3 separate regions of the Mus musculus genome follow, and all the other regions are reported to be linked to region 1. The links are microRNA targets in miRTarBase. Many come from high-throughput screens and were not tested one by one. Region 1 holds a microRNA gene; each other region holds the end of a gene's coding sequence.

Region 1 (10,425 bases):
GGCGAGGATGTGGAGAAAGAGGAACACTCCTCCATTGTTGGTGGGATTGCAGGCTTGTACAACCACTCTGGAAATCAGTCTGGCGGTTCCTCAGAAAATTGGACATAGTACTACCGGAGGATCCAGCAATACCTCTCCTGGGCATATATCCAGAAGAAGCCCCAACTGGTAAGAAGGACACATGCTCCACTATGTTCATAGCAGCCTTATTTATAATAGCCAGAAACTGGAAAGAACCCAGATGCCCCTCAACAGAGGAATGGATACAGAAAATGTGGTACATCTACACAATGGAGTACTACTCAGCTATTAAAAAGAATGAATTTATGAAATTCCTAGCCAAATGTATGGACCTGGAGAGCATCATCCTGAGTGAGGTAACACAATCACAAAGGAACTCACACAATATGTACTCACTGATAAGTGGATACTAGCCCAAAACCTAGGATACCCACGATATAAGATACAATTTCCTAAACACATGAAACTCAAGAAAAATGAAGACTGAAGTGTGGACACTATGCCCCTCCTTAGAAGTGGGAACAAAACACCCATGGAAGGAGTTACAGAAACAAAGTATGGAGCTGAGATGAAAGGATGGACCATGTAGAGACTGCCATATCCAGGGATCCACCCCATAATCAGCTTCCAAATGCTGACACCATTGCATACACTAGCAAGATTTTACTGAAAGGACCCAGATGTAGCTGTCTCTTGTGAGACTATGCCGGGGCCTAGCAAACACAGAAGTGGATGCTCACAGTCAGCTAATGGATGGATCACAGGGCTCCCAATGGAGGAGCTAGAGAAAGTACCCAAGGAGCTAAAGGGATCTTCAACCCTATAGGTGGAACAACATTATGAACTAACCAGTACCCCTGAGCTCTTGACTCTAGCTGCATATGTATCAAAAGATGGCCTAGTCGGCCATCACTGGAAAGAGAGGCCCATTGGACATGCAGACTTTGTGTGCCCCGGTACAGGGGAACGCCAGGGCCAAAGGGGGGGAGTGGGTGGGTAGGGGAGTGGGGGTGGGTGGGTAAGGGGGACTTTTGGTATAGCATTGGAAATGTAAATGAGCTAAATACCTAATAAAAAATGGAAAAAAAAAAAAAAAGAAGCACCCACGCTTCGTGTTGAAAGCTTTTTAGTGCTGTTTAGAAAACTCAACAGGTCTTAAAGAACTGAACAACACTGTCAAGTCCTGAGTGTTGTCAAACTCTCAACTGCCAGGCATGATCAAACTACCCAATATCTGGGTTTACCCCATAAACCTTGGAATTTAAAATAACATTCCCTCCTCCACCCCCCGACACACACACCAAACAGGAGCAACTCTTTAACAGTTGAAACTTAAATATCTCAATTTTCGAAATTTCTTTTATTCTCTTAGCAAGCTTCTGCTAAAAAGCTATGCTTTGTATTCCCGTGTCATAGAAATCAACACATCAGGAGTTCATGCTTTTAAAACCAACATCTGTCCTTTCCTTTCCCTGCCCCTTAACTGAAGGTTACTATTAAAAATTAACACAAACAACAAAAAAAAAAATCCCCATAGCTGACATTTTACTGACAAAGCCTTTGAAAAAGTCAACAAGATGTTTACAGTTACTCTAAAGGCACACATTCTATTCAGCTAATTTTTAATCTTTAGTTTTGATTAGTTTTAGATGTCTTTTTCAGGCCTATAGTGTTCCAGGAGTACACTACAGATAAGTGTTAATAGTTCCAATTCTTCTGGAATTAGATTATCTGTTTGGTTGTGCATCTTGATACCACTATGATTTGGGCTGAAATGTATTGTTGGATGGCACTGTCCAAAGCATTTTGAGTGACATTTTTCAGCTACTCTAACATCCCAATAACCTATACATGGAGTTGTACTGTCCCCAGAGCAGTATTCTGTGAAGCATGTTAACAGCTGGAATTTGATCGATAAAGGGGTCAAAATCTCTTTTCTTTTGGTTAAGTATAGGACTAAAAAACAAAAAGTAGTGTTTAAAATTAAAGAAAAAAGAAAATTTTCCTTTATGAAAATTTTAAAAATAAAAATCATAAATTCTCCTACCCCTTAAAATTATAAAAAAAATCTCAACTATAATAACCACTCCAAAATTTAAAACTGAGAGCACTAAATGTACAATCTATAATGTACAATCTATTTATATCCCTGTCTTTATGGAAATCTCACTTCAAAACCTTAACATGATGGAGGGCTGATATTTAATTTGTTACTACATTTATTTACTCATGAGTGTTTTGCTGTATATGTACACATAAGCTAGCATGTGGTTTTCAGAAAACAACTCATGGGAGGTGGTTCTCTCCTTTCAATAAGTAGATCTTAGGGATTAAACATCAGGCTTGGTGGCAGAAACCTTTACTCACTCAGGCCCATCAAAGACCCAAGGACTCATATGTGGCTATGGAAACCTCCAGAAATCCCAGACAGCAGCTAACAGTTGTCTCTTTCATACCTCCCAGAGTTGAAAGCCTCCTTATGACAAGGTGAATCAGTCTGCCCTATCTTCACTTTTCTCTATGGTGTCGAAATATGCCAACTCTTCTTCATTTTCATTTGTTACTTATATAGCGATAACTGATTTTTAACTTTTCAATGACTGATACTGTAATTAATAACCTGCTTTCTATAGTTTCAAAATGAAGAGTATAAGTATATTCAAATTGGGAAATCTAAGTTAGTTTTATAGAAAGCGATCACTAGACATAAAATTAATATATTAAGACAAGAAAATAATTCAAAGATGAAATAGGCAAAATTTCTATTTTTATTAAGTTTACAATAAGTTGATTAAAGCTTTTTTATTTTTCCAATAGAACACTGATATTTACTCATATTCTTTTAAAGTGTTTACAGCATCGGTAATTATACAAATATGTGAAGATAAAGCTATAAATTTGAACAAAGGTTTCAAAGTAATTAGGTTTACTTGTATAATGACAATGATATTTGCATTTATATAACAGACAGTAAATAAACATACAACTTTTTTATAACTTGTTAACAACCTTTTTTTTTAATTAGATGTTTTCTTCATTTACATTTCAAACTTTCCAAGTTTCCTCTCCAAAAATCCCCTATCCCCTCCCCCCTCCCCCTGCTCCCCAACCCACCCACTCCCACTTTTTGGCCCTGGCATTCCCCCATATGGGGGCATAGAATCTTCGCAAGACCAAGGGCCTCTCCTCCCACGATGGCCGACTAGGCCATCTTCTGCTACATGTGCAGCTAGAGCCACGAGTTCTGGGGATAATGGTTAGTTCATATTGTTGTTCAATATCTTTTCAACAAAGACATGTGACATGTACATAAAATGTATCAAGAAAACACTGACCTCTTAAGCATGTTTACTTATACGAGTTAGCCATGTCACATTCACTATTGTTATTAAGACATATGAGGAAGAAAGTGGTTTATGTCTGCAAGTGTTCTATAGTATTCTGAAATACTAAAATTTATTTGGTATCAAAGAACTGAAAGGGCAAAAATATCACTGAATAAAGCTGGATTATTTTACATAAATACATAGAATACACAGATCTCTCATGACATATTATTTATTTCTAAGTCTCTGCCACATTTCTATACCCAAGAAGTGGCTCAGTCGATAAATATTTGTTTAATAATACACTTAATTTCATACTTTTCAGTAAGTGTTGAAGAGCTAAAACTCAATGCCAGTTTTGATATGGAATATCCAGGTGTCTTTCTTGTTAATTTCTCAATAAAAAGCAGTGAGAGCACATGTGGTGTCGGACTCCACCTACTTCCAGCAGAGCTGTCCTTGTCCAGAGCAGCCTGTATCCCTGGCAGAAAGTGCAAGTTCAATCAATAGTAACTGTTCTTTTCAGGAGAATATAGAGCATTGTCTTGAAGGTTTCTTTAAGCCTGAAGGCAAATCTAGAAAGGTTAATGACTCATCCAAGCTGAGTTGCTCAGCTAGTACTTCAACAGTATCTTTATCTGATATAAAACCAGTTTGTCCAAATACTTTCTTGAACTCACATGCTGAACTCACTGTATTTATATATATATTTTTTAAACTAGACCTACATGCTATCTTATATGCTACATTTGGAGCTCTGAAGAAACAAAATGCTTCTCTAATATACTTAAGGCAATATAATGTCTTTTGGTTTAAATGACTGAGGCATGCTAGTATGCCAAGTTTGTATATGTGTATATATATATATAATTTAATATATGCATTAAGTATTTTAATATCCTAAGAGTTTGTTGTGTAAGAATATACTTTTATCTTCAGTATCTCTGAAAAGAAGACGTTTGATATTGATTAAAACAATATCTAATTGTTGGGGTTGGAGATGTAGGTTAGTGGTAGATGCTTGTTAGATTGCCCAATGCAAAAAGAACTCACATTTTGCACAACCCCAAATTCTAGATGAGGTGTTCAAAAAACATTTAATATAGATGATTTACTGTAAAAAGAAAAAAGTTGAACTTGGAAGGTAGTACCATAGATTTTGCTTAAAATTCTCTTCATGTATATCCCCCAACTGCACCAAACAATCCCACCTTAAATAGCAAGTTTTTGTCATATAAGGATTTAAACTGCATCTCATCCCTGGTAAAGTAACAAGTCCCAGACACCATCAAAATACAAACACAGTATATAAAATGCTAGCCAAGTTAATAGAAAAATTGGTGAGCTAAAATGCAGGCATTTAGTGTATTATTGGCTTCATATAACAGGCTACCACAGCAATCTATGAAATAATAGTCTCATACAAACTTTTTATGAGACAGCTTTCTTGATGTAGCCCAGAATCTTACATGGTAACCCAACCTGGTTTAAACTAGTCAACAGTCTCAGTCTCCTGAGTAGTGGGATTATAGGCACACACCACCATACTTGGTCTTCTTAAACAGTTAAAAATAACCAATCTCCCAAAGTGTCTTGTACTTCTTAGCACAGATTAGCTCACCCTTTTACCTTTTAGAGTTGACCGCATAACAGATCTTTGATAGGATCACCTATAGGCCATCTAAAATTCATTTCTCTTAGCTGATTTCCAAGGCAGAGAGAGTAAACAGCCTTCTCCCAGCTTTCTTACTTTTCACAGCTGAGAGTGTAGGATGTTTACAATATCTGTCACTCAGTGCTCTCTAGAGCAGGTTGGCGGTGAGCAGCACAAGCATCAGGATGCCGTGGAACATCTGGAGATCCCGTGACGTGTTAGAACAGGGGCTAGAAAACAGAGTGTACTTGGGACTAAATTTCAGCTTCTAGGTCTGGAGCCGGTAAGAAGGCTGCAGGATGCTTACCTTCTTGATGCCTAATCAATTTCTGTTTTGCACATGCCAGGATTCTCCTGGGATTTCCTGGTTTGGCCCTAATACCCAGGCATTTCTATGCTTTCCCAAAATGGTCTGAGGAATTTCCTTTCGAATTACTACCCTGCTCTCTAACTTTAGGAAAACAAGTCTACCTTCTCGCTGTCTCAGCTATATGATTTTTGTTCTGCTTCACTCCTAACAGAACTGAGAACAACTGTTCAATTATATCTGCAGACATAAGACTATACAAAAGTTTAATCACTGACAGCCATTTATCTTATTGGTGGGTTATGAAGTCATAAATCAATCCAATGAGCAGAGTAAACATGTTGGTTGGGATATAAAATAATGCATTAAGCTGGTACACTAAATATAGCATAATCTTAGAAAATTTAAAATGTTGTATGTGGAAAGAAATATATAACTGGAGGCATACACATAAATGGAGCCAGTCAATTCCTAAGTTCTTTTCTGATAATGAATGATTCAAACAGTTCCTGGAATAGAGTTGATTTACTAAATTGATCTATTGGATAGCAAAGAAGAAAGTCATCGCTTATATAAAACATTACAAAACAAGCCTACATGATGAGACTACCACCTGTGAACCAGTGTGAACACAAATCACTCATTCATGCATTAGATAAACATTTGTATGTACTTGCCACATACCAGCAGTGATGTAAAATGCTGGGTAAGGAGAAATGAATACTACCAATCTCAATCCTCAAAACAACCTAATCTGCAGGATAGATGCATCAATCGTAGTGTAGGAGGTACTGCAGTAGTGGGTCAAGAATCAGCCCTAAAATAAATGGTAATTGAGACTAACTAGTCCCATACTGTCTCAAATCTCAAATCTAGCATCTCTCTTCCAAAGCAGCCTCCACTGATCTCTGGTAAAATCTGGGCCCTGTCACCCCATAGGAACTACCTATTCTGTCCTTTCTCCATCATTATGTCTTGAATGTTTATCTATAACCAACTCATAGTTCATTGTTGTTAGTATTGCTATTTCCTATCTCTCTATAAAACCAAGTTTCCTGGGAAGTTTAGTTTAGTTTTACTCAATTTCATTCTATTTGATGAAAATCCATAACATGGAACCAGGGTTTATTGGGTATAAACAGTATTTAAAGAATAAATATATGAATGATGCTATCTAATATCTGGCAATCTAATCACTTCAAGAATATAAATTTCTTAAAACAAGAAGAAAAGGAACAACCATTCCAGAAACAGTCTTTGTAATTGCCTAGTAATTCAAAGTACAGCTGCTATACTTTTCTATGGCATTCATGGCTAGGAGGAGAAGTGATTACATTAGCCAACCTTTTCTTAAGTGACAGCAAGATCTTAGGGAAAGTTAACCCTCCCTGAGAACCACCTGATTTTTAAATTTTATTTCTCTGATGGATTCCAAATAAAGAAAAGTCAGGGTGAAAAATAACTTCAGAGACATCCATGTAAACAGTTTAAAAATGGACAGGAATGAAAGGAAACTGCCTTAATCACAATCATTTAAGGATTTAAACTGTCAAACAGTCTGTAAGAACTAAACATAATCTTGAACATAACTTTAGTTCTGGTCTTTAAGCATCACCAAAGCTTCCTGGAAAAGAAAACTTGGTCATTTTCAGTTCTAAATAATAATAATAATAATAATAATAATAAAGCCCCCGAAGTGTGTATCTGAGCCCAGTGGCAGTTGGTAAGGCTCTGTATTTAAATCACCTCACCACTTTCCTCCACCCTACCCTGTGCCAACAACTAGATTGAGGTTTTTAAGCTATAAACCTGGCATACTGTCTCCCCCCCATAAAATCATTTTTTTTGGCCATTACCTGATTTTTAAAATCCCTAGAACACACTACATCTAACATTTCAAGATATATACTAGTCTTTCCTAATCCTCATTTAAAAAACCCCAAATGTACCAGAATTAAAGTAATTATAAACAATACAGAGACAACCATGGTTAACCCTTTGAAGCTTGACTTATCTTGTATACCAGGACTTAGCCATGAGCATTTCTAATTCCTGAAGAATCCTTCATCTAGGCAGGTAGTGACGTCTTTGCATCAGATACCTCCTATTTTCTGATTATCTCCCGGTTACTGCACCTTCTGCCCTCTCCTTTGCATATACTTCATTTAGGCTAAGTTGCCTATAACTTTTCATGTCACTTTCATCTTGCCCATCCATGTAGAAGAGCACATGGTCTGGCAGCATGGTTTAAGGCATACAAAAGTGCTTGCTGCCAAACCTGAAAACCTGGGTATAACTCCCAACCAAAATGGAAGGAGAGAACCAACTCTACTAAGCTGTGCTCTGGCCTCCTCATGTGTGGCTTGGCATACACCAGCCATGCATACTACATACATTTTATTTTCTAAGAGTAGGGGATCATTAGCCCCTAGTTATAACCCCCAAATCCAAATATCTACAATGTAGTAAATAAATCTGTGAGGAACAATGAATTACATGGGAATTTCTAAGGAACTATGAAGAAGTCACAACAAAACCTAACAGTAACTTTCATGTATCACAACTTCACCTTTCCTATTCTATTGTGTTGCTCTTCCCTGGATGCTAACTGCAGTTTCAGTACCTCACTGCATTGTTACAATATGTGCATAACCAGCAATATGTTCTTGTGGAGTCAGTAAAACACTATCCTCACAAAATGTGGAGCTTTATCTCACGCAAGAGTTCTCTAGCTTAATGAAAATATTCTTTGTTCAAAAAAAAAAAAAAAAAAAGAAAAAGTCCACTGTTTCATTAACTTCTTAAGTTCATCTCAAAGAAAAGGTTCCCTTCTCCCATCCAGAACTGCTTGATGGGATTTTCTGTCTAGATTCTTGGTATAACTGAAATCATACTGTTTAAACCAAGACATAGCAAATTCTATAGTGTACAGAATAGACAATCTTCTGGGAAACTCTGTGAACAGATTAAAGTCAGGAGGCCACTATCCTCATGTAATATATCTGATTACATTTTCCTTAAACGTTGGGATCTTCATTCCCACCACCTTCTCTTCTATGCTTGTTTTACTTAAGCTATTGTTCGTAGAAGAAAAAACACATGAATTTAATATAATTGAATCTTATATTTAAAAAATACTATTGCTGTTTTAAGTGGGAAATCTCAAGTTAAAAACAAACACATCCAAAAAATAATCAAACATTATGAAACCCTAAGGTTTGAATGATGATATATGTATTTTTTCAATGGTGTAAATGGAAAATGTTCAAATAAAATTGTCACACCCAATTTTAATCCTCTTTCCACATGAACTGTAAACACAGGTCACTTTGACATTGTTAGTCACAATAAACAAATGTGGATTTTTATGTTGAAAAGTTAGCTAGTTCTGACTATGGCCATAGGGACAGGGGGGTATGGCAGTAGCCAAACAGAAGGTATTTTGATCAGTGTTGCCAAATTGGAACACTTATTAGACAACTATAAAACTTAATCACTGTTTTTTAATTTAATTGGAAAATTGTAGTCCTATCAATGTTTTAGGTAAATCTTGTGCATTTACTATAGTTGCTACTGGAACAACTTTAGAAAGAACTGTTGCTCTGATAGAATAGCAAATGGCTAATGGCATGACTTAGGATGCTGAAACTATTCTGTCTCTTCAGTGAAGGCTTCAGTATAACAAACAGTAGCTTTGATAAATACTAGCTATTTTGTTTCAAGTCTATAATCCATCAACCAACTATGTGCAGGTGCTTTGGGAATGGTTACCTGGAAAGCACAGGAAAGTGAAAGCTGTAATGTGACCAGAGAAAGGACAAAGGAGGGGCTGAGTAACAAAGAAGTTTTTTTTTTTTTTTTTTTTTTTTTGAGACAGGGTTTCTCTGTGTAGCCCTGGTTGTTCTGGAACTCACTTTGTAGATCAGGCTGGCCTTGAACTCAGAAATCCGCCTGCCTCTGCCTCCCGAGTGCTGGGATTAAAGGTGTGCGCCACCACGCCTGGCTCAAAGATTTTTAACCTTGTTGTCAGTACTAATTTTTAAAAAGAGAATCTATTCCTGCAATATTTATACAAGTATAAAAATTACATCAGTGCTCTGTGACTGGAATTCTCTCATCATTCAGCATTCATCTGAAACTGTAACATCACCAGAAATGGAGTAAAACTGCTAAACTAGCCTTTGAGTACCTCAGGTGTTATAAAATGATTAAATAACATAGTAACATCCTATGATGCCCCAGGCATGTTCTCTTAGAGTACCTATCCTTATAAGCACTTTCTGTGATACTATTATACAAACATTCTAAATTTACCACTCAACAATGTCTTCATTCTTTTGGTCTAATCCTTCCTGTAGGAAGAGGACAGATCTTTCTCTTAAGCCAAATGTAAAGTCCAAGCGTTTGTTGCTGCTTCTAGCAACCATAGCAAAGCTTAATAGTCACAGAAAAAGGAGGCCTTTTATGACATCCTAATGGATTAAATGATTCTTTCTCAAAAAGTAGTCTAGAGAAAATAAAAAAGACAAAGTACCAGCAGGTGTCACTAGAACCCAAAGCACTACTGCTTCTCTGCCCGACGGGGCAGAAATGGGAGTTTCACGTTGCAGGAGTGAGCTCAAGCACAGTTTGCAGTGTTGGTGGCTGACACTGCCACACAGTGGCTGCCTAATCTAACCAGGAAAGAATATGCAAACCTCAGCTTAAAGAACTGCACAGTAAACAGGAGTAGATGCTATAAATGATTAAATCTTCTTTGGAGGTCAAGAGCTGTTCAATTTGTATGTTCAGTTTTGACTTTTAGTAGGCAAGCCTGAGGGGTCACACTATGGCGATGCTTCTTGGAGACAGATTCAAAGTGAAGGCGCCCAAGTGATCATTCAGTACTCGTTTAATCCGTGTTACATTAATAATGATCTTAAACTGATTATAACAAATTAAAGAAGCATATTATAATAACTTTAGTGAATATTATAAAAATGCCAGGAAATACAGCATTAAAAAAGGCAACAGAATTAAAATGCTATGCTAAAAGTTATCTAAGATTTAAAAGGGGGCAGAGCTGGAAAGAGGGCCCAGGAAAGTGTTTCTTGTGCAATCCGTATGACCTCAGTCTA
Region 2 (10,425 bases), not on the chromosome of region 1:
GCCGCTTGTGTTTCATGCGTCGGTTCTGGAACCAGACTTTGACCTGCCTTTCGGTGAGGTCCAGCAAGGCAGCGATCTCGACGCGACGCGGCCGGCACAGGTACTTATTGAAGTGGAACTCCTTCTCCAGCTCCAGCAGTTGCGTGTTGGTGTAGGCCGTGCGCAGTCTGCGGGAGCCGCTGCCGCCGCATTCTGGCAATCCGGGGCCATCTGCGAGGGAAGCACCCCTATGTTATCAGAGAGGTCTCAACGCAGCCTCCGTTTAGCTGAGATCGGGAGCACCCCTTTGGCTTAAAAGACTCTCAGCAGTCCTACTCGGGCTCCCACCCCACCCCCACAGCGCTTCTTTCTGTGTCTTTGGGGTTTTTTTTAGTGCTCTTCCACGTAGGCAGACCCGGCCCGGGTCAAGTCGGTGCCTTCAGAGCCGCCCACGGGCCACGTAGGGGGCGGGGAGCAATTTCTCTTAGCTCCCAGGACCTCAGAGTCTCCCTCCCCCAAGTCCTCCCAATGGACCCCTCAATTCAGAACTTTCCAACTCAACCTGGGGAGAGAGGGATCATAGATTGTTCTTCACCCCTTTCCTTCCTAGCTTTTGAATTCCCTCTTCTTCCCTAGCTTTAGGAGAGCTAGAGGCATCGCATCTTTTCCAGGCTCCAGATTCAATCCCAGACACGCTTCATTCCTCTACACAGAAACCGGGGAAACCCTTCAATCGAATCATTTTTTTCTAAGCACATTTAAAAAAAAAAAAAAAAAAAAAGCATCCTCCCCACCCTCAATCAGCTTCCAAAATTTTCTGGGGGTGGGGAAGCTAACAGTGGCTAGGCCTGAACCCCAGCGGGATACTCTGCTTCCCTCGCCCCAGATCCGTCGACCTAGGGAACCCCACCAGGAGCCCCATCACCTCACATTCTCCCCTTCTCTTCCAACTGCCCCTCACCCCGCCCCTAATACGTTTACCCACCTGATGGTGATCCGACCTCGGAGGCCCGGACCGAGGAGGCGGCTGGAGAAGGGGATGCGGCGGATTGGCTGGGTTTCTTGGTGGATTTCTTCTCTTTCATCCAGGGGAACTCGGGGGCTGGGGGGGCAACGGGGAGTGGCGGCGGTGACCGCAGAGCAGGCCCATCTCCGGCTTGCTTTTGGCTCCCTGGTCTCTGAAGGGTGGAGGCGCCGAGCTGGAGGCTGGGGAAGGTTTGCTCCAGAGGAGGAGGAGGAGGAATTAATGTCGACTCCTTGATTGATGAAGTTTGAAATGTCTCCAAGACAGCGGGGAAGGAAGTCAGACACTCGGCGAGCGATGGCTGGCTGTTTATAAACCCAATCTCCCTCTCAAATTCAAAATTCATGGCTTTCAATGGTGGGGGAGGGGGCCTGCTGGGGGGGGCGTCAGGAGGGAGAATCAGAGGGACCCCCCTCTCCCGCCCCCCCCAGGTTTATGCAATGGAGCAATTTCGCGGGGGGGGGGAGATTTCGCTCTCTCTCTTTTTTTTTTAAATTTAGGCCTTTATAATTGTATATTGCTGATAAATACAAGCGTATGGGGACTCTCTCTATTAAACCCAGGACTCCGCCGAAATTGCAGGGAATTCATGGTCACGGGACCGGTCTCCGCCAATCGCTAGTCTAGGCCTAGTGGAAAACACAGGCATTATTTGCTTTAATTGATTCAAAAACTCCAGAGGACCACGACCTGGATACCATGAGGCTTCCTCCTCTACCCCTGTTCCTTCATCAGTACCCTACACTCTCCCTAATGGCTCTCTTTTCCCAGAAAAGCCAAAAGAACCTCTTCCTTCCCTTCAGAGACTGTGTGGTGGTGGCAAACAACCACATTTAAGGGAGAAATGGAGTGAGTTAATATGCTTTCTTTATGTGGCCCTCAGTAGCCTCTTACCCTACCACCACCTCAGCCCCCAAAAGAAAAGAAAAAAAAATCTCATTTAGGGGGAAGTGGGAGTAGAAAGAGGCTTCCATACCTTGGGGGAAATCAGAAAGGAGATGGATAAAGGACAGCACTAAACACCAGCAGCAGCGGCAGCCCACCCACCCTCAGAAAGCAGTAGTTCACACTTAAGAAATGCACAGAGCTGGCACGCAGCAGGGACATAGATTCCAGGAGCACTTTGGGACATGGGCCTACCTCCCTTGCTATGTGCCCTGGATTCTAGTCTCTGCTCAGAATTTACAAGCAGTTTCTTATGTCCACTTGCCTTCCTGTTGGGGTCATCTGTACTCACACTGTGACACCCCAACCCTGGCAATAGGAGGGTCTAAGAAGGTCTAAGGTGACAGATGTATTCACAGGCCCCCAGGTGTATCTGTGTCTCTATCCAGGGCACCAAAGTAGCCATCCACTTAACTTTCAAAGCTAAAGTCAGTGCACAGTCGCCCTCTGGACAAAGGGATTTCCCCCTCTGTATTTGCCTTTGGGCTACTTTTAAAATCCCTGGTAAGAAAACATTTCCTAAAGATGGTGGGGGAGAGGGGGCTGGGGATAATGACCACCACTGAGATTATATTCTGCTTTGGGCCTCCAGAGAGAAAAAAAAATGTAATGTATTCTATGGTGAGGCACCTATGATGGGCTCAATTTTAGAATATTGTGATTTACTAGAGGAAGGAGGCAAAAAACAACAAAAAAAAAAAAAAAAAAAAAAAAAACCAAAAACAAAAAAACCTCAGAGCCACAAGCAAATTGGTGGGAAACTAGGCCTCAAAGCTGAAAATGAAAAGTCGGCTGGGGGAAGATTTTTAAATAAGTGGGTCAGAGGGACCAAGAGGAGATGAGGCGATCAATCTTAGCCCCCTGACAGCTCCCTCCGATTGCATCAAAGAATTTGGCTCTTTGGGAAAGCAGAGGGAACAACCTAAATTGCATATCCCTTAAAAAGGCCTGAGGGAGGGGGGAGCCAAAGAGAAAGGTGATTCTGGGAGATCTAGGAAACAGATGGGAAATGGGGACAGAGGGAAGGCGCTAACTTGGGTGGAAAGTTTGCCCCGGAGAACTCCCACGGCTCTGGCCTCCCCTCCCCCTCCTCGCTCTCTGTCGCCTAGCCTAGAGGAGAAGGCTGCTTAGCAGAGAAATGGCAACTCAGCGGAGAGCTGGAACTAGAAACTTTCTGTCAGTGTAACGTCCGCGTGGGTGGTGGTGAGTATTTAAAGAAAGAAAGAAAAGAAAAAGGCAGAGAAGTTTGCCGGGAAGCGGGAGGGGGGGGGAAGGAGGGAAACCTGGAGGTGGTGGTTGCAAGGACAGAAAGAGGCAGGCTCTTGGGAAACTGCTCTTAACTAGGCCAGCGGCCAGAGAGGGTGTTGTGTACCTTAGCTAAAACAAAACAATGTATGCATATATTTTCCTGGATGGTGGTTAGCAGAGGAGAATCCAAATAGTAACTGTCTGGAAGGGAGTCCTGTACAGTAAGGCCTGGGAGAGGGCCTTCTCCCCGGCAGCATGGGCACTTCCACAAGTTTTGTAACAGGCACTCCAGCTGGCTGCAGCATCCAAGGATCTCCTAAGACAACCAGAGCCCAGACTGTCCTGTAGGAAATACAGCTCTCTAACCCTTGATGACAGATTTTATGGCCAGATTAGTGAACAGTAGAAAACTTGGGTGTTAAAGTGGGGATCCAAGAAAACCCTCCAACCCTCCCTCCCTTCCAGAGACATCCGTCCAGCCCTGTCTGCTACCTTACAGAGCAGATTTTTATCCATGTTTTTAAACAGCTTTAGACCTAGAATCTGGAAAACAGAAGGGTAGGTCCTATTTTTGTTTAGAGCCCTAGCTCCAAGCCACAATATATCAATATAGCTAGCTAAATTCTCTCTTATCTGGTTCCTCTTCAGCTAGATAAATAAGCAATCCACCCTTCCCCTCACAGTCAAACATGACCCTTCTCATAGTTATATCATTCAGAAATGGTATTCAGGGAAGAGGAAGAGAAAAGGAAAGACAGACCCTTGAGCGTTATTTGATCCCAATCAAACATTGCACGCTCCTCTGCCTTTAATTTATAGCCTGGCCCAATGCTAAATTGCTTGCTGCCCAGATGAGCCAAGTCCAGTTAAAAAAATTCTACTTGGTGGGGAGGGGGCGTATTATTCAGGTTGTTTTTTTATTGTTATTTATTGTTGCATAAAGACTGTAATTACTAACCTTGGACTGCCAGGATACAACATAAAAATGAAAATCAGCCCTCGCTTTAAGGCTGAGGGCCTGGAAAGATTCTTATATCCCCACCCCCCCCACCCCGTATCACCACTACCACCAAATATATGCTCCTAATTAAGCAATGCGGGTTCATCGCTTACAATTAGAATTATGTAACTCTTCAGCGGGCAGCCATCGCTTCTCTTTCAACGAATTAGCTCCATATTTCAGCCTCCCCTGTCTCCTCGCTCTTGCTCTTATCATCGGATACCGCTATGCGGTGGTGACATTTCATCTTTGACAGACCCTCTCCATCCTCGCTCCAATGTGATAAAACTTTTATGGAACCAGGACTAAGAAATGAAGTTTTCCCAAGCATCGTGGAAACAGAGCCTCACGTTAGCCTGGGGACCATTTTATTTAAGCTTGGTTTCTACAGCTTCCTCTCGCCCCCTTCTCTTCCTTGGCAGGAGAAATCTAACCAGTCCTCCTCTTCCTCTGCCCTGGGCTTCATTTAATGATTAGATTTCGCTTTAGTTTTAAGGCTTGACCTGAGAAGTCTAGGCCTCGGCTTGTTGTCCCCCCCCCCCAAGATTAATCATTTTCCTTTGTTTTCATTTTAGACCCAATGATGGTTGGGCTTCGGGTCACGTGACAGCCTCATTGTAGCTCCGGAAGAGAACGTGAAGTTTAGGTTGCCTGGAAGAAGCAGTAATAAGCTAGGTTTGGGGTTGCCTGGATGTAAACAGAGGGGGTGCCTGGAGGTGCTGGTCAAAGGGACAAAAGAGGCCAGTGACTAAGAAAAACAGACAGGCAAAGAGCAGACTTAGCCCAAGATTCCCTCCCCTCCCTCCCGCCCCCCAAGCTTGTTGCTTAAACCTTAGCTGAAGAACTTGGCAGAATGGTCCAGACTGGTACAAATGTCAAAAACTGAGTTGAAAGCAGGAAACACTAGGAAGGGGAGACAGCGACCTGAGCAGTGAGCAAAGAGCCTGGGGAGTGTCACCAATGCCCTCCTGCTAGGGGACATTTGGCCACTAGAGCCTTTTTCTGCACCCTGAACTGGACCACCATGACAAGATAAAATTAATAACAGAAAGTTTATTCAAGAATTGTTTTGACAGACAACTCTTTTAACTAAGGGGGAAAAAAATAACTACGGAAGAACAAAGAAAGTTCCAAGAGAGAATTAACTTCTTATCTCTACAAATTCGGGACTATACAGTGACATTTAGGAGCTGAGTTCATGCCTTTTAGAACTAATTACAATTCCTCATATGTACGAGTTTAACATAAATCTACAGCTCTTGTCTAGAATACAATAAAAACTAAAATAGCTGGTTTTACATGACAGGAAACACAACAACCTTTATAACAAGTAAATACTAAAAAAGTACATTTTTCTTTTTTTTTTTTGTCCCTCATATAAATACATAATGTAGGGGGATAAATAATACAAAAAAGAAAATATTTTAACAGGCTATAACCAATAAATATATATGAAAATGTTCACTAGAACACACGCTTTTTGAGCGAAGCTGGACTTTCTGCAGGCCCAGACATCTCTCACAGTTGTTTTTTTTTTTTTTAATATCCATTAAAATGTAAACTCCAAGTGCAACAAGACTGTCCTGTCAGGAACTGGAGCAAGGTCCACAGGTCCAGCTGCAGCACCTGCCAGGACAGACAGTTTGTTCAAATATACCCTGTTTTCACGTTAAGTCAAGAGAAGAACAGAAGTAAAAAGAAAGTGGAGGGAGTGGGATGGGGTGGGAGCTGAGAGACTGGAGAATGGGCAAGCCTCCAGTCCTGACAACTTGCCTGCCTTAGCCTCTTAACTTTTCTTTAAAAGAAAAAAAATATATATTTATTTATATTATAGGCAGCTCTGACTTTCAGGATATCTTACCATCCCTGAGCCCTCTGAAAATTGTAATCAATAGGGGTGGGGTGTAGATATGAATGTCCTTAGAGCAGAAAACCAACCGTAGGGCCATAGTAAATGATAGATATAGTAAGAAGCCTAACAGATGGGGGATGGGGGGAGTTGAAGCTTCAGGGAAGTAGGAGAGAAACATACTTTGTGCCCTTCGATTTAAATGTATTTTCTTATTTTTCACAGGGAGACTGAAAGGGAGAACAAAAAAAATCAAGATTTTGGGGAAATTACCCACAGAGATGCAAGGTAAGTTGATTGCTTGCTGATAGCCAAGCCATTAAGTGTTGAATGTGCTTCTCTGCCCTGCTTGCCTGTCTTGGCTCCCTCTACCCGACTCCACGTCACCTCTCCAATCTGAAATTCCCACTTGGTAGTGCTGGAACCCTGGGAACCCTGGGATTGATGTGGTCCCGTCTCCAACCTGCTGTGGATTCCTTTCCAAGGGTTGTTGGCAGACAGATGGAACCAGGCATGGAGGACTTAAAAGACAGCCCCTGGGGGCGGGGAGGGGGCCTGGGAGCTGGGAAGGCACCCCAGGCCTGTTCTGTTTCTGGAAACCTGGCGACAACCCCATCCCACACCTCTTTCAGGACTCTAAACCGCGCCCATCCCCCAAGTCCGCCGTCTCCCTGGCCCTTAACCTCACCCCTCCCTCCCCAGCCCGCCCCTCCCATCACAGGTGTGTCAGTTTGGGCGCTTCTTGGATTCTACCCTGAGGCGGTGCGTGGTGAGAGGAGAGGTCTGTGTACGTGGGGTGAGGGTCACAGGGTCCATGATGCTGGTTGGGGCCCATAGGGGCCGCCCCGTTGTAGTCCAGGTTCCCCGAGGGGTGGTGGGAAAGGTGATTGAGGCCGTAGAGGGAGGGGCCGGCAGGGGGCGGCAGCGGATCCGCGTAGCCACCCCCGCCCACATACACCGGACTGCCCTGCATGGTGGGCGTCCCGTAGGCGCCCCCGTTAGCTTGGAGGACGTGGGGCTCATACTCCGACGCCGGGGTCGGGGGGTACTTCTGTGGGGCGCCGCAACCCTTAAGAGGGGGCTGGTAGTTGGAAGGCAGCGCGTAGGCATTCTGGTGGCCTTTGCCGAAAGCTGGTGGGGACGGGCTGTCGTAGCTGGGGGTCATGGAGTGTAAGGCGTTCATGAAGCCGGCCGTGGACTGCATGGGCTGCGGGGGGCTTCCGGCCGGAGAGGGACCCCCAGAGGACGAGGCCAGCCCCTTGGCCTTCTGGTCTTTCTTGTACTTCATGCGACGGTTCTGGAACCAGATCTTGATCTGGCGCTCGCTGAGGTTCAGCAGATTGGCCATCTCGACCCGGCGCGGCCGGCACAAATAACGGTTGAAGTGGAACTCCTTCTCCAGCTCCACCAGCTGCGCGCTTGTGTACGCCGTGCGCGCCCGCTTGGACGCGGCCGACCCCGGGGGGCTCTTGTCCCCTCCCCCGCCGCCGCCGCCGCCCCCGCCGCTGCTGCCGCCGCCACCGCCGCCGCCGCCGCCACCACCGCCGCCGCCACCACCACAACCTTCTGCTGGACCCGAGGGGGGAGGGGTGGGAAGGGGAGAAAATGAAATAAAAGATAATTACTGAACACGCCGAAATTGAATGCATCGTTTCTTAATAAATCCAGGCCTGGACTCGGAGGCCCCGCTGCCCTCCCCTTCGCGTCCCCACCTCCTCTACACCACCACCCCCCCCCTTCCTACCTCCCGTCGCATTAGCGGACACTCTATAATAGTGGCATTTATTAAGAGACCTGTTCTCCTTTCACGGCCCCAGCTTATGAAAATTTGATCATGTCAAACAGACAGAGCTGCGTGGCCATTTATTTAGGGCTAGGATTTTGCGTGTGCGCGCACCCTCCCCGTATATCCAAATCCAAGTCTGAGGTGATTCCTCCCTTCTGTCCGCCCTCTTTACAAGACAAGTGACTGAGAACACCTTGGGAGGGGGGCGGGGGGGGGGAGACTGGACACTGGTGGGCAGGGCCTGGATGTGTGGCACATAGAGGCTCGGGTGGCTGCAGGCCGGGACCCCAGGCTGCCTGAGCGATGGTGATTAATACCTACAATAATCATACTTAATAATAATCTATCCTTGATGACTCTGTGCCTCCAGGCGGTGCGGCCTTGGGAAGGGCTGTAAAGCCAACCATCCCACCTCCTGGAAACTCTTGGAAGCCCAGATGGAGGATGGTTGGATGGACTGGGTGTTGGTCAGGTCAGAGGTCATCAGGTAGTGAGAGGTAGCTAAAAAGCACTAGGCAGCCATCTAATATTGTCTCCAGGCCGCCTTGTGGGCGCCTTGGGGTCGGATGCTATAATAACAGTGAAATTCCTGGGTTGGACAAAAGCTGACTAGGAAGGCAGAGAGCTGGTACCTGTGCCGGGGGAGCTGTTTTTCAGCTTGGACGTTTGCCTCGACTCTTTCATCCAGGGGAATATCTGTTTGGTGAGGGTGGAGTTGGAGCCGGCACCGCACTTGGGGGGGCCGCTTTTGCTGGGCCCACCCCCGTTATTGCTGTTGCTAGTGGTACTGGTAGGTGCGGCGCTGGGTGGGGGTGAGCCCGGAGGTGCGGGCAGGGGCTCTGGGGCCAGGCCTGGCCTCATGCAGCTGCCATTGAGCTCCTTGCTCTTGGCATGTGGGGCGGCGTTGCCCAGGGACTGCAGAGAACACGCTGAGCGCTGGTAGTCACCCTCCAGGTGCGTGGCGGCCTGAAAGGGGGGCTGGGGAGGCCCGTCGTAGCCGAAACCATTGCTGCCAGGGTACGAGGAGTAGCCTCCGAAGAGCGCAGCTGCGGTGTTGTCGTAGTAGGTGGCTTTCTGCATCGCTGGGCGAGGCCCGGGCAGTGGGTGGCAACTTGCAAGGGCCTGATACCCTCACGACCGGACATTGGCACCCCTGGGGGTCACGTGACACGCCGGACCCCCCTCCCCTTTCTGCCCCCCTCCTCTCGGGTCTGTTCCAAGCGGCTGACCTGCGGGGCGAGAGAAGAGACAGAGGGGAGAAGAGGACTGGGCCTCGAATCCATCTTAGGAACTAAAAAGGGAACTGACATCAATAGTTTTTTTTTTTTCTTCTTCTCCCCTCGCCAGTATCTCTGCAGCAGACGCTGAGACCAAGTATCTAACCTGACTTGGATGCTTCACACTTCAACTTTAATTTTAACGGGAAAAAGAAAACATCCATTTTCATTTCCATTTTTTTTTAAAACAAAATCAAGACTGTACTCCTTCGAGGACCGCTTAGGAATAGAACACCACTGCTTCGTGGACCATTGCCCCTCTCTCTGGCACCCCGAAATAACCAACCCCTGGCCTCTTCTACAATTTTTCCTTAACCTCCCCCACCCCCGCAACTCCCCAACCCTGGGATGGGGCAATCCCAGGGAGAGGGCACTATTAGACTCTAAAGTAGAAGCATCCCAGAGGTCCTCCTTCCCTTAGGGAGGCCTCTCTGCTTCCAGTCTTTCTTCCTTCCATATCTTTCCACCTAAGCAAAGTCTAGCCTGGAACTTGCAGATCTTAGACCCAAGCCAGAATGAAAAGCAAATTCATCTGGGACTCTTCCCTCCAAGATCATAGCAGCCTAAGGCAGAAAACTCCTGAAGATTTTTAACCCCAGAGGCAGTGGAACCAAGTTCCATCCATCTATGTCCCATCTGAAGGTACCATCACCTCCAGTCTTGACTCAGGCAGGCCTGGGACCTAGCAGCCAGAGGCCCCTGTGGAGCGTCCAAATGGACCATGCTTGTTTAGATTTCCCAGGCAAGACCAGTTGGTGCTATGACCATTTGGCTTGGGTTTTCCCCACCCCCAATCCATAACAATCTGTTTTCTTTTATTTCTCAGGGAAAAAGAAAAAGGAAAAGGAAAAACTGTGCATCTGCTGGAATCTCTTTTCTACTGAGATGGGGGAAATTATCCAGGATGAGAAAGACTCACAAAACAATTTGAACACTATTCTTCTCTGGATTCAAAGGGGAGGCTGTTTACTGAGGTTCCCAACAGCAAAAAATAAAATAAAATAAAATTATGGTCACTATTCTAACACAGTCTTTTTAAAGTGCACCCGAAAAATAAAGCTGGACCGTGTCAGGAGGTTTTGTATTTGTTCTGAGATTTCTGACTCTTTCTCTGTCCTCTCCAGTCCTCTTATGGGTACTTCCCTAAAACCTCCAGTCTGATCCTCTCTGTGTCATGTGCTTTGAGCAAAACTTAAACTATCATTCAGCCCAGCTGGTCAACTCCAAAGAAAACGTGGTAAAAATAAAATGCAAAAAAAACTTCAGGTGGGGTGAACCCCTCCCACACGCAAACGCTGCCCTTATGACACAGATCCC
Region 3 (10,425 bases), not on the chromosome of region 1:
ACTTTAAGCCACAAATGTCATCCACAGAGGGACTGGGAACCTTCTTTCTCAATCCTTTCCTAGTATAGCTCTACAGAATATCACAGTTTGTTAAATGAGTAAGCCTATCCAAATAAGTAAAGCTTAGCAAAGTTAGCAGAGATAAAGGGGCTAGACACACACCTTCATGCCAGCTTCTGTTAGCATGAATAGTCCTTAGGTGTTTTAAACACTATCTTCTTATCTATAAAACCTAATCTATAAAATTTACCATATCTATCTAAAAAGTTTTAGATGCTCTGTGTTGAACACAGATAGCAAAGTAGTTAAGCATATATCTCTATGCCAGTTTATATAACCTGAGTAGACCATTATAACCTCAGGAGATGATGAATCTTAATCAAACATATTTTATTCAGCAAGTATATGTTGTTCTGAAAAGGTCAGTTCAGGACCTTTTGGAAAATTCCACCAGACCCCTCTCCTCCAGTAGGGGAAGGCTAACATTCTGCAGAACTGACTCACCTGCAGGTGGGGGAGGCCTAGACCAGGTAAACACATTCTGCAGGGCACACATTGCCACTTCATTCCCTAGAGACCAATCAATTTAAAAGTCACACTGTTCTACCAATCACATTGTGCCTGATGGCTGCTGCTCTGAAAAACTGTATAAAGACTGACCAAACAGGCTGTGGGGGAAGGTGGGTCGCCATCTCTCCTTTGAGTGTAGGATGACCCCAACGTGTTGGAACAATAAATTCCTCTTGCTTTTTCCATCGATTCCTGGCTCTGTGTGGTTTACCCAGGGAGACCCTGGTAAGCTAAGGCTCACCAGAGTCTTATAGTTCATTATCTAAAACTTCTATTCTCGGGACAAAAATCATCATACAAAAATCTATCTGAATCCAAAATATCTTGGAGACTTGCTGTTGTCTCCTTAGAAGATACGGTAAGCTGGGGTTCAGTATTATAGGTGCTGCCTTCGTTGATTTATACCACATGGTCATTTTATTCATGATAGTGGTGAAGTCACATGACATGTACTCTTTAGCTTTAGTAAAAAATGGCTGCAAGCCACGTGGTCGCTATGTACTCCAAGGTAAGCCAATCAGGCATATATCCATTTCTTTCTTTTCTTTCTTTCTTTCTTTCTTTCTTTCTTTCTTTCTTTCTTTCTTTCTTTCTTTCTTTAATCCATTTTTTCTAAAAAAAAATAGTTAAATCCAAGGTACATATACAATATGCAGTAGCAAATTAAGATCACACTGCCCCCACACACTATTAATTTTTTATTAGAAGTTTTAAACCAACTTTTTGTTAAAGATTTTATAGAAGTTTTAAAACTGCAACCAATGAATTTACCATGAGTTTACAAATCCTGAGATACACATCTTGACATAAAACTTTTAGTTTAGAAAAGGTTTTAGAGATACAAGAGAGAGAGTATTTAGAGTTGAATAAAACCAAAAAGGAGTAAGAGCTAAGCAGCTGTAATCCCTACTGGGGAGAGTTCACCTTTTAGCTGCTTTAAAGCTCAAGTGTCCTTTTTTGGCCTATCCTGGCTCACTTCCCTTCTTCCTGTAGGGTCAGGTAGCCTGCCTGATCCAGGACAGAGATTTTAGAAAAAACATTTAAATAAGCTTGCTCTGGTCTAGAGAGAAAGGGTCTTCACTCCAGAGCCAGGTTTTTATAGAATGGAGAGCAGCATTACACTGTACAATATTATCCATGCCCAAAAGACACTTGGATCTCTGAGGACTGAACAGTGGTCAGAGTGAGGGACAGAGCAAACCGAGAGCGAAGAAGGCAGAGACGAGAGCAGGGACAAAGGAGGTTGAAAGGGAAGGAGCCAGCTCAGTGATGGTGCAAGCAGGAAAGCAGACATCTGGGAGGCTTAGGGGAAAGGGTCAGGAACAGGAGCTCTGTCAGAGGGAGGGGTCCATATCTTAGAGGCCCAAGAGGATGTAGAGAAGTGTCCTAGATAACAGGCTAACAAGGAAAGAGAGAGACAGAGACAGAGCAGGCTGCTCCAAGGTGAAGGTGAGGAATCTGCAGGCAGGAGCTGAGAGCGGGGGGGGGGGGGGGGGGAGAGCAAGTTCTAGGAGAGAGCAGAGAACATAAAGGGAGAGCAAGGGTGGGAGGAAGGGTAAGTGTTCTGCTGACACGAACTTCAGCCAGAGTGTTCCAAAGAAGATCAAGAGACTTGTCAGAGAGAAATGTCCCAGATTAGGAAGGAGAGTGTCCCTTTCCATGCAGTAGGTACACAGCAGAGCAAGAGAAGCTGCCTGATATACTAGCATGGCTTCTGCAGCAGCAATGGGTTCCAAGAGCTAACAGAGACAGGGCAGGCAGTTCCAAGGTGACACATACCTGAGTGCTGGCACAGAGACAGAGCCTTTCTACATGCCCAGGAGAGTGTAGAAGGCTCCAGGAGCCGGAAATGCCCTGGAGAAGCATAGAGGGTTGAGAGAAGAAGTGGCTGAAGAGGTAGGTGACTCTAGAATTTGTAGTCAAATATGGTGGGTAGCAGAAACCAGCAGAGACACATGATCCATACCTTAGGAGAGTCAACTCAGCAGCTTGGCTCAATTAGGAGAAGTTAGATCCCTTGGAAAGGGGGCCATTTGTGCCTCCTGGGTTTTTGGCACCAGATGCATAAACTGGTGACATTACCATGCAATGGTATATTTAAGGCTTTATTTTAGACATGAGAGCAAGAACAGCCAAATGCATCTGGAAGAGCCTAGAGAGAAAGAAGTAGCCTGGACATGGCATGGAAAAAAAAACCAGGAGAAAAACGAGAGAGAGAGAGAGAGAGAGAGAGAGAGAGAGAGAGAGAGAGAGAGAGAGAGAGAGAGAGAGGAGAGGGGGAAGAATGAATGAATGATTATATCTGAACTAGGAAGGTTCTAAGAAGAATGAGTGGCTGAGGAGAGAAGACTGAGCGTGAGGGAGTTTGGGGTAAAGGACGGGGTGAGTAGAGACACACATCCCTTCTGTCTTTTGAAATTTGAGGAAATGGAGTTTCTCTTGGATCTGACAGTAACCAAAACCATTGGGAATAGTCTATAATGTTTTGGATAATGTTATGGGACCCTTTTTGCCAATAATTTAAAAAAATATATATATAACCCATTCCTGATACTGAATGGACCTAGATGGGGAAGGGGAAACAGACTACAGTATCATAAAGGGATAAAATGGAAACTAAAATAATAGGTGTGGTGGTTTGACTAGGTACCCCCCTTACACCCCACCCTCCTGCCCAGACTCATGAGTGTGAATGCTTGGCCCATGGGGAGTGGCACTATGGAGTAGGTGTGGCCTTGTTGGAAGGAGCATGTCACTGTAGTGGGCTTTGAGGTTATACATGCTCAGGGTTATACACTCATTGATACAGCCTCCTTCTGCTGCATTCGGATCAAGATATAGAAGTCTCAACTCCTTCCGCAGCACCATGGCTGTCTGCAAGCCTCCCTGTTTCCTGCCATGATGATAATGGACTGAACCTCTGAACCTCTAAGCCAGCCCCAATTAAATGTATTCCTTTGTAAGAGCTGCCTTGGCCATGGTGTCTCTTCACAACAATGAAACCTTACCTAAGATAGAGAAGTAAATGAGAGGCCAGGTTAAAGGAGGGTAGGGAGCAAGGGACAGCAAAGCCACTTGGAAACCTACTATTGTAGAAGCTTTCTCTGATAGTGAATATATAAAAGGAATCTAAATGGAGCCACCGTAGAATGAGGAAGATGACGTCTTACTTTCACGATGGGTGGAGGGTGGACTGTTTCCTGGCTTACCAAACCCCAAGATGAGGTGGCTCTAAAATTATACTGTATGGTGAAACCCCGGAGCAGCTCAGAGAGGCACAGTGCTGGTTGTTGCTTGGTCACCTCTAGGTGACCCTGTGGTTACCCTCTCTGCAGTGCCTGCCGCAGGCTTTCTTTGAATCTCTTAGAAACAGGATTCTGAGAAGCCAGCAGCAGCCTCGTCCCCACCCTGCAGGCCTCACACAGTTGCATTTTTATAAAAAGTTTTATTTATACTTCATGTGCATTGGTATTTTGCCTATATGTATGCCTATGTAGGGGTGTCAGGTCCCCTGGTCAGTTACAGACAGTTGTGAGCTGCCACGTGGTTGCTGGGAATTGAACCTGGGAAGAGCAGCCAGTGTTCTTAACCACTGAGCCCTCTCTCTAGTGCATTTTCCTTCTTTAGGTGGCCAGCCAGAGGGTCTGTGCTCTGGTGCAGGCTGTTGTGGATTGAAGCTGCAGAAGCTGCCGTGGCTCTGCAGAGCCTTGAGTTCAGAGCTTATGCTACCCCAGGCTTCCTTGGTCAGTGGTGGGCCTCAGGGCTGAGCAGTGTCCAAGACAGACATAAAGTACCTGCCCTGTTAGCTATGTGGGTGACAACTGGATGTAACCACATACAGTACTGTTGCAGGGAGCCAAGCATCTGCCTGAGATGGAGAAATGGGCTCCAGAGCTACTGTCCACAGTGTCCCTCTTAACTGGGAGAGGGGCATCCCCAGGGTGACTGAGGCAGGCAAGCTTGAAAGACGCTAACATTTCCCGACATTGGGTTCCATTCCAGGCCTCTGGCCTTCATGTTCCTGCTGGAGGAAAATGACAGTGGCCTTTCTACCCCATCATTGCTGCCTATGCCCCGTTTGCTCATCTGCTAAGCCCTACATCTCTCTAGCTAGACTGTAAGTTCTAAAGAGCTAGAGATCCATCTTTTCATGGTGAGTCTTCAGCTCTGGGCAGGGTTTGACAAATGCCAGATCCTCAATAAATAGTAGCAGCTAAGATATGGGCCCTGGTTTCAAGGAGGACGTGGTGACCAACTCTGCTATGAATACACACAGTAGCAGCAGGGAAGGCCGAGGAAGACCTGCAGCCTCAGGACAGCTTGGAGATAAGTCTCACTAATTTGGACATGGGAGGAAGATACCACCACTGCACAATTATCCACCCCCAGAGCTTAAAGCCACCTCCACCTGTCAGTCTGCTTGTGATGTAAAAGAACTTGGTTGTATACCTTTGCTCTACAAGGCCTGCCCTGTTTTGTGTGACCTGGGTCCTGGAACTCTAACAGAAGCAAGGGAACAGAGGACACACAGACACCCACAGAGTAAAGTTGGAAGTAGGCTACTGCCCCACCCAGAAACTGTTTACTGGGCACAGCACAGAGGGGAGGAGTTATCTAGTCTCTGAAGGAGGGCTCTGGAGGCAGGTTCAGGCTATAACCATCTTTGCACACGCTGCAAAACATAACCACTGATGCTTGGACTCAGGAGGAAAGCTTTGCCGTTCCTCAGTGCTTCACCCAGGTCTTTGCCACCTGAGGCCTTGGAATTCATAACCTGGCAATGTCTATGCCAGCAATACACATTCAGTCAAGACTTGGCTCACCCAGGGCGAACTGTAGCATGGTCAAAATGAAACCACACTGTGAGATCTCAGGATGCGATGCGGGTTGGGGCCAAAAGGGATCTCACCTAAGGGCTGCCTGGCTGGTCAGGTTGGCACTTCTAAGGTGGAGGCTGGGGAGCAGGGATCAAGGAGAGGAAGCTGGACGGGTGTAGCTTTGATGTGAGGTAGGCTGGAGCAAGAGCTCACTCTATGGGATGAAGAAGAGGTTACTCCTGTTTTTATTGGAGGGGTGAACTGGAGACTTGAAGGACACTCACTGGCCACACCTAGCAGACTGGGATAAGGACAATTAGCCCTTATTTACAATGAATAAATTGAAGGACAGCAGGGCTTGGCTTGGGCAGCTGAGTGGGTGTGGACCAAGGGAAGGGACAAGGAGGTGGCTATGCCATGTTGAGGTCAAGGATGCTGTGGGAGGGTTGAGGTGAATGGCCGTAACTTTGCATGGTGGTCTTCATTGTAGTTCTTTCACAGGAAGATGGCCCCCACTACAGCTCCATTCCCCTCAGTTTCCTTAACCACAGGCAGAATCCTGCGTCTGGGTTCCCATGACCATTGTGGTCTGAGTGTGCTCCACTGCTTAGTGAAGGACTGCCACTCTCCACAGCAAGTACCTTTGGGGGAGAATAGAACCTATGAGGCTACCACAAAACCAGTGCAGAGCATTTCCTGAGCAGGAAGGAGGTGTCCCCACCGCTCACCACATGGGGGCAGGTGCCTGACACCAGACTCCTGCCCCTCCTAGGCAGGATGGAAGCCTTCATCTGGGCTCCCTTTGTCACGGGCGCCTCATCCTGACGCAGACATGTCTCTCCATAGACACACATGGGCAGCTATGGAAGGAGCCCTCCATGTGTGGTTGCATTCTGATGCCAAGTCCTTCCTACAGCAGATGTGCTCCAAGTTCAGAAGTGCCCAGCGGCACAGATACCTCAGAGGATGTTGGCTGGCAGATGCAAACTTCAGAGTCAAAGTGTTCTGAGGGACAGAAGCCACTCCAACATGGCGTCAGCCACAGAGGCCAGCTGGCAACTGGATAGGCCTCGGTTAAAACCTCCCATGTAGAGGGGCTGTCCTGGGTATGGATGAGCCCTGTGTAATTGCTCTTGTGTTTTGAACTAGGGCAGCCCTGCCTTGCCTGAAGGACTCACCCTTCAAGCCAGGCTCAACCTTTAGCCCAGAAGCAGGAAGGATGGAGAGGAGGCTCAACACGGGAGGAGCCTGTGACAGGAGCCCAATCTGACAGGAAACCCAGGGAACGGCTAGCACTGGCCTAGGATGTTCCTGAGGTAGAAGTGAGAGGTTCAGACCCCAGATCCTCTTAGGTAGAGCTAAGTAGGAAGAAATTCCTGTAGCATTGGTCAGCCGGCTTGTGGCTGCTGGGACATGCTGTGTCCACTGGCTGGCTGGGCTGGGTACACGGTAAGTGACTGCTCATGAACTGTTGTGGGTGGCGGTGGGGGCGGTGGGGGTGGGGGTGGGGGTGGGGGAGGGAGGCTTCTTCCTTCAGCAGCTCCTCCAGAGCCATGACTACTCCTGAAATGGAGCATCATTCCATAACCTTCCCTGGGACAGCAAGGGGTGAGAAGTGAGAAGCACTGGTGTCTTAGCGGTTAGGAAGCAGTCTCAGGAGACTATGAAGGTTGCCCATGCTGTAAAGGAAGGAAATGCTAGTGAGGGCGAGGCATGGCCAACACCAGCCCTGCTGGCCAGGCGCTTCCATGCTCTCCGGACCCCAGAGCTATGTGACTGGAAGAAGTGGATGTGATCCCAGTTCTCAGTAGTCCTTTATTAGTACACATCAAGTGGGCTCGCTCTGCCAAGGAGGCATTTCCTACATCAGTATGAGCTCCGGCACCAAGGCTCGTGAGGACATTGTTGGCACTGCTGGGATATCAACTAGATGAGCCGAGCCTCATGCACCGAAGGAAAACTTCCACACCAGCCTGGTTATAGGAACGACACCTCTTTTCAACAAGAGAGAAGCAGCTTTTGGGCCTAGCATGGAGGAGGCCATGTGATCTGTGAAGAGCCTGCCGCCACAGCTCTCCATGCACATGGCCTCTTCCCCAGCTCTCATTTCCTAGCAGTTCCAGGGTGGGGAAGGGAGATGGCACTGGCCGGTGCAGGGCCACAGGTGCTCCCCGCTTTGTCTTTAGTGGCCACTGGGAGAGCTTTTAGCAAGCAAAAGCAACCTGTACTGAACAGCAGGTTATACTAGAGTTTTGGCATTTGTCCAGCCTTTCTGACACTAAAGACATGGCTGGCAAGGTTGTCCAGCACAGCCAACCCGTGCGGAGGAGATTCACCCCTACGAGAACTGGGCTCCGGGGAGGCAGCTGCCCTCCAGAGTTACACTCAGCAGCAGTGTGGTCACTTCAAGTTGCAGTTAGTGCAGAGCAGAAGGTCATCTTGCCAAGCTAAGCCAGGAAGTTCTCGAGAACTGAACCGAGGCACTGAACCGACCCTCTGTGGCACACAGGTATGTTTTACTTCACACTTCCAATCTGATCAGAGAGGACTGCATGAAACACAGAAATGTGTATAAAAAAGCAGACGACAGTAGGGCTTAATCTAGGCTTGGCTTGTATAAAACTGTATTAGCTGCTATAATCAAAATGTGAGAGATTAAAACTGATGATTACCATGTGGTTAAAGAAAAAGGTTCTATATATCCAGGACTTTAAAATGTACAATTAGACAGAAGTACCTGATAAAATAACAGGGACGGAATGCATCCCAAACCAGCAGTGTAGGTAACCAAGGGAAGCAATGGTCACCAACGAAGAATAGAGTCACTTAGAGAAGAGCTTTCCATCCTTGGTTCTTCCAAGGAGAGAGTGGCCTGCCTAGGGACCATAGAAACATCTCAGTGTGAACCTGGGGTTCTCATGTGGCACCCACACAAGCACAGGAGCGGGGCACATCACGGGCATGGGCAGGGCAGGTAGGTCGAGGGGTTATGAAATGTCCATTCAAACAGTAATGGGTCAGCCTATCATCTTCTTGGCCTGGTGGGTAGCCAGTGATAGTTATCTATTGACCTTATTCTCAACGCAAAGGAGATGCTGGGGACAGGGCTCAGCAGTGACAGACATGGCCGGCACTGTCCCAGACCTGGATGGATCAGTCAATACTTCCCACACTAGATCTAAGGTACTGACACGGTTATGTCAAGGCTTTAAGTGGAATGCTTGCTGGAAGCCTTCTAGCAGGGATGGATGGTGGCCCTGATTCTTACAGAGCAGCTTCATGGGACATGTATGCAAGCAGGCTCCTCAGAATGCTGAGAAGACTGGTCAGAGGCAGGGGGTAGAATTCATGAGGCCATGACTGAGCCCCGCCACCATGTGAGTGAGCCACCAGCCCTGCTATGCAGTACAGCTAAGAAGCCTGCAGAGCATCCTGACATTAGCATTCCTGTCTGTAGAGAATTACAATGCTATTAGTGGGTGGGGCACTGCCCAGAGGCCCAGCTGCTCTCTGAGGAGGACAGAAGGCAGAGGTGACATCTAACAGATGCTACATCTATCCACCATTTCCACTGTCCCTAGCTTTGTGCCCAATACAGCTCTGTACTCGGCCAATAGACGGGGAGATGTCTCATGTATACCCAGCCCAGGCAGGGGCCCCGAGGCAGGCAGGCCCATCCTTGGAGTGTCTGGATGCAGAGTTTACAGCTGAGCTCCAAGAATAGGGTGTTGGGGGTTGAATAGGAGCCCTGTATCTTGTGGTACCTGGAACGCTCTACAGGAAACCTGCTCCCACAGAAGGAACTCCAGGTCTAATTCCCAGGAGGTCTGACTCCGGGTTGTGCGAATGTGGTTTTCCTCTGTGCTCCTCATTTAACAGGCCACTGTAGCTCTAAACATGCTCAGAGACCTGACCGGAGAGCTCTGGACACATTTCTCCAATTCAAGGATGTTAGCCCTGTGACTCTTAAAACCATCTCAGAGCAGACTGGCGTGGAGCCACTGCACTCCCGGCTGTGGGGACTCTGGAAGGAGAAATCCAGTTGTTCAAGGAGGAACAGCGGTGGCTGAAGCTTAGGAAGCCCAGGGTCCAGAACTGTATTTGTGTCAAACAAGAATCTGATTCCTAATCTGAAACCCTGCTCCTACAATTCACTCTGACTCCAGCCCTGGGAGCCACCCGCTCTGCTCCCTCTGTGTGGCATGTTGGGCTTCCAAGGCAGGAGTGAGACTGCCTGCCAGATTCACTCAGTATCAACAAGTTCCCTGTGGCTGAAGCTTTGATAAGGGGAAGTTGTGAAACCAACTTTTCCTTCTGAGTGTAAACTGGCAGAGCTGCTGGGGAGGAGGGGACGGAAGACATGTGGCTCTGATGTGGTCTGCTGTGTCTGACAGTGGGTATGGAGCTGGGGACCTGACCTGGCCCTAATTGGAACAAGGGTCACAGGGTCAGGTAAGGGTCTGGAAACCTCTATCTGCATTTTGGTAAACATAGTGCATTGAAAGAAGCATAGTTGCCTCTTTTTGTAAAGAGTTCCAGTGGGTTGAACCAATGCCAAATGCATGCTGGGAAAAAGACACTGGTTCAGCAGGGTGTCCGCCAGTGGGGCCCTGTGCTCAGATGTCCAAGGGGCTCACAATGGTGAAGCCAGACTCCTTGCTGCTGTCATCATCGGGGCTGGAGCTGGGGTTGCTGGAGGAGGCTGAGGCTGAGGCTGGGCCCATCAGTGGGTCTGAGAACAGCAGTGGGGAGCAGGCTGGGGCTCGGCTTTTCCCAGATGTGCTTCTGAGGGTGAGAAGAGGCTGGGCCTGGCCTGAGAAGGCCCCCCTGGCACGGTGCCCCTCATCTTCTTTGGAAACCAGAATGAAGTCATCTGGGGTCGTTCCACCGGTGCACCCTGGCATCTCTGAAGAGGCCTGTGAAGTAAAAGCAGAGGAGAAGGCCTGTGACTGCAGGGGTGACTGACAGCACTCAACAGAGGCCTGGGTGGAGTGGCATGGAGGCCAGATGGCCATCTCTTCCTGCACCCAGTTTGGAA

Evidence for each region. Region 1 holds the annotated microRNA mmu-miR-30c-5p (UGUAAACAUCCUACACUCUCAGC, at 5,106-5,128, opposite strand). A microRNA usually pairs through its seed, bases 2 to 8, with sites in the 3' UTR of a target mRNA and lowers its output. Matches are read on the target gene's strand: a 7mer-m8 pairs with bases 2 to 8, a 7mer-A1 pairs with bases 2 to 7 and ends in A, and an 8mer does both.
Region 2: miRTarBase lists Hoxb3 as a target of mmu-miR-30c-5p. Seed matches in the 3' UTR shown: 7mer-A1 at 5,752-5,758.
Region 3: the mRNA of Tbc1d5 is a reported target of mmu-miR-30c-5p. Seed matches in the 3' UTR shown: 7mer-m8 at 9,872-9,878 and 7mer-A1 at 9,707-9,713.

The regions. Positions count from the first base shown.
Region 1 is chr1:23,286,417-23,296,841 of GRCm38, reverse strand. It overlaps Mir30c-2 (microRNA 30c-2), which reads right to left and starts at 5,141; the gene lies at 5,058-5,141.
Region 2 is chr11:96,342,735-96,353,159 of GRCm38, reverse strand. It overlaps Hoxb3 (homeobox B3), which reads right to left. Exons shown (of 4, transcript NM_001079869.1): 3 at 8,464-9,060; 4 at 5,230-7,614. The coding sequence starts at 8,911. The coding sequence ends at 6,761. It overlaps Hoxb3os (homeobox B3 and homeobox B2, opposite strand), which reads left to right. Exons shown (of 4, transcript NR_155303.1): 1 at 1-100; 2 at 4,772-4,866; 3 at 6,271-6,333; 4 at 9,935-10,126. Hoxb2 (homeobox B2) reads right to left here and starts at 1,528. Exons shown (of 2, transcript NM_134032.2): 1 at 965-1,528; 2 at 1-210. The coding sequence starts at 1,349.
Region 3 is chr17:50,725,942-50,736,366 of GRCm38, forward strand. Tbc1d5 (TBC1 domain family, member 5) reads right to left here. Exons shown (of 22, transcript NM_028162.4): 22 at 7,186-10,303. The coding sequence ends at 10,004. Among named protein-coding and RNA genes, the nearest start is that of Gm41598, 60 kb to the right of the region's middle.